Linked DNA regions of Macaca mulatta. The protein of the gene in region 2 purifies or fractionates together with the protein of the main gene of each other region. This does not show direct contact. Links are inferred from orthologs where the notes say so. Each region holds a gene or a part of one and is shown on either strand. Other genes may lie near its edges.

Region 1 (4,318 bases), on a different chromosome or scaffold from region 2:
TGCTACAGAGAAGGTGCTGCTCTGGCAGTGAGGCAGTGAGGGAGGGATTCTGTGGAAGCTGCAGGCAGCCACCTTTTCATCCTTGGAGGTGGTGGCCTGGGATGTGGCAGACACAAACGCAGAGGGAGGCAGGAAGACACTGGAAGAATTGCTCCCCTGCTGCCAATGCCGATACCACTGGGCTTTTCACTTTCATAAGCCAAGAAATTTCCGTTACTGATTAAACAAATTGCCTTTATTGTTAAACCAATGATTGGATATCAGAAACAGCCTAGCTAATATAGCTCCTTTTGGATAAAAGTGGAAGTCTCACATTCACCTTTAATGTTATTTCATTTTCCAAAATCAATTTCCTGGCACCACGCAAACAAGAGCACTGGTAAATGTATCACCTGAGCTGCAGGCCACCCATGCTCACAAGTGTGTCCCTGCCATAGGTGGCTTTGAAGCCATATACATGGCTCTCCAGCTCTCGTGGGGGGCCAGGGGCTTCTGTGTGCTCTTCAAAGCCTTCACCCATTGGGCCTCTGTCCATCTTTCCAGCCCGGGGACCCAATATTTGCCCCATCAGGCCCAGGCAGGAGGGCCTCCAGCACGTGCAGCCCCGACCACACTGTGAGCGGCTCACTTGGCAAGGGTGGAGGGCCCAGAGTGGCGTCCTCCTGCTGTGGCTTCCTTCTAGCCTCTACCACCCCTGGGGGCCTCCAAGGAGCAGGTGGCTAGATGTCCTCTTGTGCCCATGCACAGGGCACAGTGGAGAAGGAACCGGAACCCAGCCCATGTTTCTGTCCCCACCCTGGCACCCCAAGGTTTCCTCTCAGGCAACAAGGAGCACACGAAGTGAGCGGCTGTACACAGGTGGCTGATGTGTTCATCTTCCACAGGGAGGCGAGTGCTGGGGACGAGGACAAAGGCCTATGCCCAGCCCCAGTTCTGACATTGCCTTGCTGAGTCACCCATCAGCCCTAACGCTTCCTGGAGGAGACAAGCAGACAGGGTGCCCAGAGAGGAGCTGTGTCACTAAGGGCCAGGACACCCCATCTCTGGGTCACACTTGGCCACTGCTTCGCTTTTGGCTTCAGTTTGTTTACTGAACAGAAGGGAGGGGGGCACTGTGAGACGAAGGACACTGACTCAGGTCGGGGAGTGGCCCTCACTGTATAAAGTCCGTGGCTGGGGACCAAAGTGGCACTGAGACTCCCCCGAAGTCACATCACAGAGCTGGGGTGACTTGCTGACTCCCTGGCCCCAACCTGCTTTTTCATTTGTCGAAAGCACACTGGCTGCAGCAGCTGCTGGGGGTGTGGTGGTTCCAGGGCTGGCTGTCACTTGGCCTCCTGCAGAGGTAAGCTGAAGGCTATGTTGGACCCGCCAGAGGTCAGGTGACAGCTGCTTTCCCTTTCAGGATTGGGAAGGAGTCACCTGAGGGTATATTCTCAGTGGGCTAAACATGACATGCCAGAGCCCAGCTCTCCAAGCAGCCCCTTCCTCCTTCTCACACCAAGGCACTTTCAGAAGCCGCTGGATTCCGACTGGGGCTCCGCCACTTCACCGCCAGTGCCTCTGCTGTGCTGGCTCACCTCTTCTGAGGGTGTGGAAGCAAACCCAGGTCAAGCTGTGAGGAGTGCCTAGCACGTGGCCAGAGCCAGGTACATGCCAGCTATTATTATGAGCCCAACTGCAACAGGTGAACACACTTAGTGTGACATGCTGCTGTGGCCTGGCACTGGGCACCTCCCCATGCTCCGAGAATGCTATTTGGAGAAGCCTTTCTCCATCGTCTCAGTCACTTCAGGGTGCAGGAAGCGGCTGGCCAACCGTTCGATGTCGTCCAGCGTCAGGCGGCTCAGGGACCTCTCGTAATCCTGGGGAGAGAAGGGCAGGAAGATTCAGGGGCTGCCAGTGGGGAGCCATACACTGCAACAGAGGTAGGGGCTGGGAGGAACTGGGCCTGGAGAGGATACCCAGGGTTACCCTTCTCACCCTCTGTAGCTGTTCCAGGACCCTGCTGGCATCTGCCGCACTGAAGTGGCGGGCCAAGACTTTGGAGATTAGCTGCCAGACATGCGGGGGTGGGGAGTCGGCCAGCCTCTGGGCCTCGCCTTCTTCTAGTAGCACCTTCTGCAGGGGTTTGACCACTAGGTTGAGCTTGGAGTTGGGCCCGATGCTATAATCCGAGAGTCGTTTCCCATCTGCCAAAGACAGATCGATGGGTTCCTCCTCCTCCGCCGCCGTGGGGGTGGCCCGGGACGCGAGACCGCCTCGGGCGGCGGGAGCGGAGCGCTGCGGCATCCGGCAGTGAGGCATGCGGCCGCCTCCCTTGGGGTCATGTGGCGCTTGGCGCCGGCACCCCAACCCGTTACACGGCTGCCGGCCTCGGCCCGCGCACCCCAGTCCCGCTTCCTGCGGGGCTCCCTGGGCGTCTCCTCTCCCTGGGTACCTGCCAGGGCCTTGCCCTTGAAAAGCAGCCGTTGCTGGCGCACGGGGACGTTCAGCTTCTCGGAGACCAGCTGCTTCAGCGTGGACACCAGCTCGTCCTCCGGCACCTGGCCGCGCGGAGGGTGGGAGGCAAGGGTTGAGGCCGCGGTCCCCAGGCGGCGAAGCCCACGCGTCCGCTCCCGAGGGCAGCTCTCCCGGCTCCCAGTCCCCGGCCCGGCCGCCCCGTGCCCGCCCTTGGCCCTGCTGGTCACCCTGCCAGGAGCCGGCGAGAGAGCGCGCCGGACCCGGCCGCCCGGCCCGGGGACCCTACCTGCAGGCTGCACTCCCGGCCCTGCAGCGCCTTCACCGTCAGCTGCATGGCGGTCGCGACGGCGTCCACTCGGGCCGGCGCGCACCCCAACCACCCCCCGCCGCGCGCCGCCGCCCCGGGCGCGCGCTGGAACCGCCCGCCGCCGCCGGAAGCAGCGAGAGGGGCGCGCCCGCCGCCCGCGCTTCCCGGCCCCGCCCTCCTGCCTCGTCCACGCCCCGGCCCCGCCCCCCGGCCCAGTTGCACCCCGGGAGGAGTGCCCCTGGGGTCCCGCCTAGCACACGCGCAGCGACCGCCCTGGCCGGCGGACCCCTCCCAAAGCAACAGCGCCGGGGAGTTGGGAGCAGGAACTAGTCGGGCCAGGTTGGCGTCATCTGGGAGCTAGGGAATGGAGAAGGAAGGACCAGAAGGTACGCTCGCCCCCGCAGACTGCCTGGACCACCCCACGCGCCGTTACTGCTGGCGGAACCTGGCCCTGCATACCCACAGACGGCGCCCCCCCCGCCGGCTCCCTGCCTGGTGGCTTTCTGGCTCCTCCTTTCTGGTCTGGCTGCGAAACACCCCACTGAGCTTGAGAGGGGGTAGGGGGGCCAGCCTCTGCCCTCATCCTCCCACCTCTCCTACAGTGGGGACACGCCCCGGGAGGGCTGATAGAGAAAGCCTATGCAGGGGTCACCGTGTCACCCAAGCTGGCCCTCCACCCTGGTCCACACCTACCCAGCACACTCTTTCTACCCCCACGCCCAGGCCCCAAAGGGCAAAGATTAGAAGGGACCCAAGCTTGCTTCTCTGTTTTATTGAAATATATTTTCTGGGCAGCGCCCACCTACCTAACTCAGCATGGCCTCTGTGGCACTGAAAGCTGGAGAATAAAAAATCAGTAAAAAAAATAAGCCTGGATTTTTCTGAGTGCATAGTGCATGAGAACTTTGGTGGAGTGTGGGGGCTGGGGCTGATGAAAGCTTGACCCAGAGGCCTCAGGAAACTGGGAACAGGCTACTGTAGATGCAGTGGCCAATGACCAAGGCCAGCATCTCGGAGGTGCCGCTCAGCGCCACAATGAAGGGGGCCTGGGAGGCATAGTCAGCTTGAAGGCGGCGGAGGGATAGCTGCAGCATGGCCAAGGCCAGCAGGCTGTTCTGCACCCCTACCTCAATGCTGACCGTCCGCCGCTGGGCCACAGGCAGCTTCAGACATGTGGCCAGGCAGTAGCCCACCAACAGGCCAACCAGGGGCACTGTGATACCCACCAGTACGATAGGTAGCCGGACGCCTGCCAGGATGAAGACCCCCATGCGATAGGCCAGGAAAAGGCCGCCCAGGAGGAGCACAAAGCTGAAGGGCTTGATGACCTGCAGCAGCAGCTGGGAGAACTTGGGGAGCTTGGACTTGATCAGCACGCCCACTGCTATGGGGATGGCGATGAACAGCAGGGTGCCCAGGATTTTGGAGATGGGCACGTGGAGTGTTTCATGGATGCTGAGCAGGTGGCTGTAGATGGCTGAAGACAGAGGCAAGAAACCAGTGGCAGCCACCGTAGAGATGAAAGTCATGGAGATGGCCAGGGTGACG
Region 2 (4,299 bases):
ACTCCTGACCTCAGGTGATCCACCCGCCTCGGCCTCCCAAAGTGCTGGGATTACAGGCGTGAGCCACCGCACACAGCCTAAAATATTTTTCTTAAAAAAAGAGTTAATGAACATCAACTGATGCTTGGTATAATGCTTGGCATCTAGTGAGTTTCAACAAATGTTGGTTTAATGGCAATTTGGATAATGAATCTGATCCAGCGATTGCTTATAGAATGGAAAAAAAAAAGATGCATTTCCCTCAATAAATCCAGTTTCATAAGGCAATCTTAATACAGCTCAAACCTGCTACCCACCTCTCTTCTAATAAAAATCTCCACAGTTCTGGCCCGGCGCAGTGGCTCACGCCTGTAATCCCAGCCAAGGCGGGTGGATCATGAGGTCAAGAAATCGAGACCATCCTGGCCAATATAGTGAAACCCCGTCTCTACTAAAAATACAAAAAGTTAGCTGGGTGTGGTGGCACATGCCTGTAGTCCCAGCTATTCGGGAGGCTGAGGCGGGAGAATGGCTTGAAACCGGAAGGCATGGGTTGAAGTGAGCCGAGATCGCGCCACTGCACTCCAGCCTGGGCAACAAGAGCGAAACCCCATTTCAAAAAAAAAAAAAAAAAACTCCACAGAAGATAAGATGGAAGTTCCTATGCACTTTACTTCAGAAATGCTATCATATATTCATATTCATGCTCTCCCAGTATGAGACTAAAGATACCATAACTCACATTGCTTCATTGCACTTAAACAACATGTTAGCTTACCCCTGAAGAGTTCTAGGGGGTAAAATGGTCTGCCAAAGTTAAACAACACTCTGAAATTGGTGGTCTACCTGGAAGTGTAATGGAAGTGTAAGCTGGTTGTCTGCTGTTTACTCATTCTTTAATTATAATTTGCTGGGTCATCAATTCAATTTCTCTACCAAAAATTCCAATCAAATGTCAATTACATCTACGACAGCATTTTTCCATTTATACACTTCCAACCCACTGCTCAATTTAAGAGGGGAAAAAATAACCACTTCAAAATTTATTATAGTGAAGTCTATTCAAGGAAATTGCAGAAAAGTGAGAACTCGCCAAAAAAATATTTATTATCTCAGCATCTGCATTCCACACTCAACTGTACACTGACATATAAGTTGTACAAGACAGAAGTCAGAAGCCTGGGAAGGGTTCTGGAAGATGGACATAGCTTTAAATCTGACATCATCACTTTCTAGCTGTGTAACCTAAGCATTTTATTTCTTGGTCCTGATACCCTTCATCTGTAAATCAGCGACTGTAACAGTATGAACCTCATAGGGTTGTTGTATTAAATGAGGTTATGTACACTAAGTTTACAAAGTACTTACATCTGAAATAGTAAGTGGGATTCCACCTAGCAGCGCTGAGCACTAAGGTTCTTCATAAATATAGCTGAATAAATGAATATTTACACATTTTATATAAGGAAATAAGTGTATCAATAACGTTAGGTCTATCCTAAGTCAAATTAATAGCAGAAATACTATTTGGGGGCATTTTACAGTTCACAAGGCCCTTCTGACATCCATATGTCCATTTGATCTCCAGAACATCCTCAGGAAGTAGATTTTTTTTTTTTTTTTTTTTTGAGACGGAGTTTCACTCTTGCTGCTGCCCAGGCTAGAGTGCAGTGGTGCGATCTCGGCTCACTGCAACCTCCGCCTTCCGGGTTCAAGCGAGTCTCCTGCTTCAGCCTCCCGAGTACCTGGGACTACAGGCGTGCACCACCATGCTCGGCTAATCTTTGTATGTTTAGTAGAGACAGGGTTTCACCATATTGGCCAGGTTGGTCTCGAACTCCTGACCTCGTGATTCGCCCGCCTTGGCCTCCCAAAGTGCAGAAATTACAGGCGTGAGCCACCGCGGCCGGCTTGGGGGTAGATATTTTTAAGACAGTCTCTTCAGAGATAAGAAACTGGTAACAAAGTGCCAAGGTTACCCACCCTAGTGGTATCCTCCAACCATTCTCCAGCTCAAGGGTAAGTGATTAGTGGCAAACGTTCTTAATACGACGTCCTGTATTAACATAACATTCCTGCAAGTTACCACCCTCCTCAAGCATAGTGAAGCACAGGAATCCAGGAATAAGCCAAAAGTAATAAATCCCGTCAGAAGCCACTGATGACACTTAGCACCTTGCATTGTTTTCTCACTTGGTGTCCTCCCACACCTCTAGGGCGGGGACCAGGTCTGTGTGTAGGTGCCCCCTTCCCGACCGGAACCCCCAACACGAAACCTGGTATCCAAGAGGCCTCAGTTTGTGGGAATGTTTGTGGAAATGGCATGGGATGTTGGCAGGAGGTTTTTCTGTCAGAGACCCGAACTGACGCCAACTCCGCGGTAGGGATTAAGCGTCTCCGGCAGATACAGACTCGTTGGGCGGAGAGGGTCCGACCGATAACCGGGCTGGGAAGGATGGCTGAGGACTGACGCCGCTAAGGGAAACCAGGGAAGCTGACACGCTGAGGGCACAGAAGCACAAACGAGGCGGGTCTGGCCGCAGCGATGGCTGGAAGGATAGGGACCAACAGAGGCTTGGGGGCCGGGGGAATCAGGGCAGTTGGAGTCTGGGGGGAGGGGGTCGGCCTGCTGGTCTAAGAAGAATCTGAGCCCAATCTGAGGAAAGTTCTGAACTCCTCTAGGGGCCCACTCCCCATCCCGCGGAGGCATTTGCTGCACCGAGTACTCGCTGCTACCTGAAACTGCAGCAGCTTCTCTGTCTGCTCCTGGGTTAGATCTCGCTCCTCAGGCGCCGCCATTTTGCCGCCGCCTCTACGCTCCTGACCCGTCCGCACCGTCACCCGCCGGAACTGACCTCAGCCACAACCACATCCGGTCTGAACGACCGCCGGCGCGCAGCTGCGTCTGCGCGCGCTGGCCCACTAACCCCTACCCCACCCCTGGTCGCCGCCAGAGGGCGCCACGCTCGGGCCTATCCCGAACACCTCCGGAAACTGCCGAGGGACTGTCGGTACAAGTCGCCCTTACCCTTTAGGCGACGAAACGATCTGCTCGAGACCTGAGATTCCAGTGGAGTCTTGCAGAGCCGAGAGGGCCCGAATGTGCCTCGAGAAACTCCGGAGCCCCCGAATGGCATTCGGCTGATTTCGGCTGCTCTCTAACCTTTTTCCGGCAACCTGTTATTCTTGGAGGTTTCTCAGGAGATGTGGCCGTTCCGAAATACCAGCCTTTTGGTCTTTGGCCCCTGACCTAAAGTTTCCAAAAGCTCCTGACCATCTCTCGGGAGGTGCCGAAGGATACTGGCGCGGCATTTCCAACGCCGCCTTCGAAGCGGAAGCTGTGGGCAGGCTTCGACCACCGTCCCATTGCCGCTTCGCGGTCGCTTGCTAGGAAGGGCTGGACTGGGCTCCCCGGATCCTCGACGATTCATGGCGCCCCCAGCCGTCGGCAGAGCTTTCCGTCCACCGCCGTGGTTGCAGCGCTGGAGCCCCGGCCCGGCGTCTGCTTTTCCGTGCCTAGAGTCTTGTCTCTCCGCACTAGCGCTGCACTGGCCCCTTGTCCCTGTGACAGGCGAAGAAAGATCCCTGGACCGCCATTAGGAGACGCGGGTTCTAGCTGCCACCTTGCCAAGTGCTGGACATCCTTGGGCAAACCACTTGGGCTCCATTTTGCCATTTGTTGAATGAGATTCACCAAGAGCCCCTGACGTGCTGCCGCTGCCCCTTCTCTTCGAGGCAGTTTCCTGCCCTTCCCTTCTGCTGCTTACACTGCCCTATCACCATCCCTCAATCTCTATCTTCCTCTGCACGTCCTTTGCCCCTTCTCGTCCGCCACCTCTCTTTAGATTTCCTGTTCTCATTTCCACCTCTGCCTCCGAACGCCTCCTCTGCCCACCTTCCAGAGAGGCCTGGGTCTTGGTACACGCTTTTCCACGGACGACCTGTGTGATTCCCAGCAAGGCTCTCAGCCGCCTGCGCCCCACTCTCATCCCCTTGCAAGGCTGATCTGGTGAGACAGAAAAGGCTTTCAGCGCTGGTTCTGTGAAGAGTACATGAAATTTCTTTTGCTGTGCAGAAGCTCTTTAGTTTAATGAGATCCCATTTGTCAATTTTGGCTTTTGCTGCCATTGCTTTGGTGTTTTAGACATGAAGTCTTTGCCCATGCCTATGTCCTGAATGGTACTACCTAGGTTTTCTTCTAGGGTTTTTATGGTATTAGGTCTAACATTTAAGTCTCTAATTCATCTTGAATTAATTTTCGTATAAGGAGTAAGGAAAGGATCCAGTTTCAGCTTTCTACTTATGGCTAGCCAATTTTCC

What was found.
Region 1: the proteins of FAF2 (region 2) and UBL4A purify together in Homo sapiens (affinity purification with mass spectrometry; 3 studies listed by BioGRID and IntAct, with this or other methods). This does not show direct contact. The link is inferred for Macaca mulatta from reciprocal best matches to the Homo sapiens genes FAF2 and UBL4A.

The regions. Positions count from the first base shown.
Region 1 is NC_133426.1:160,668,942-160,673,259, forward strand, and holds the start of UBL4A (ubiquitin-like protein 4A), read right to left. Parts: upstream 2,806-4,318; 5' UTR 2,798-2,805; coding exon 2,750-2,797; intron 2,547-2,749; coding exon 2,441-2,546; intron 2,193-2,440; coding exon 1,984-2,192; intron 1,866-1,983; coding exon 1,755-1,865; 3' UTR 1-1,754. Other genes in the region: SLC10A3 (P3 protein), read right to left, coding at 3,724-4,318. UniProt on the Homo sapiens protein: As part of a cytosolic protein quality control complex, the BAG6/BAT3 complex, maintains misfolded and hydrophobic patches-containing proteins in a soluble state and participates in their proper delivery to the endoplasmic reticulum or alternatively can promote their sorting to the proteasome where they undergo degradation.
Region 2 is NC_133411.1:185,388,159-185,392,457, reverse strand, and holds the start of FAF2 (FAS-associated factor 2), read right to left. Parts: upstream 2,840-4,299; 5' UTR 2,779-2,839; coding exon 2,716-2,778; intron 1-2,715. UniProt on the Homo sapiens protein: Plays an important role in endoplasmic reticulum-associated degradation (ERAD) that mediates ubiquitin-dependent degradation of misfolded endoplasmic reticulum proteins.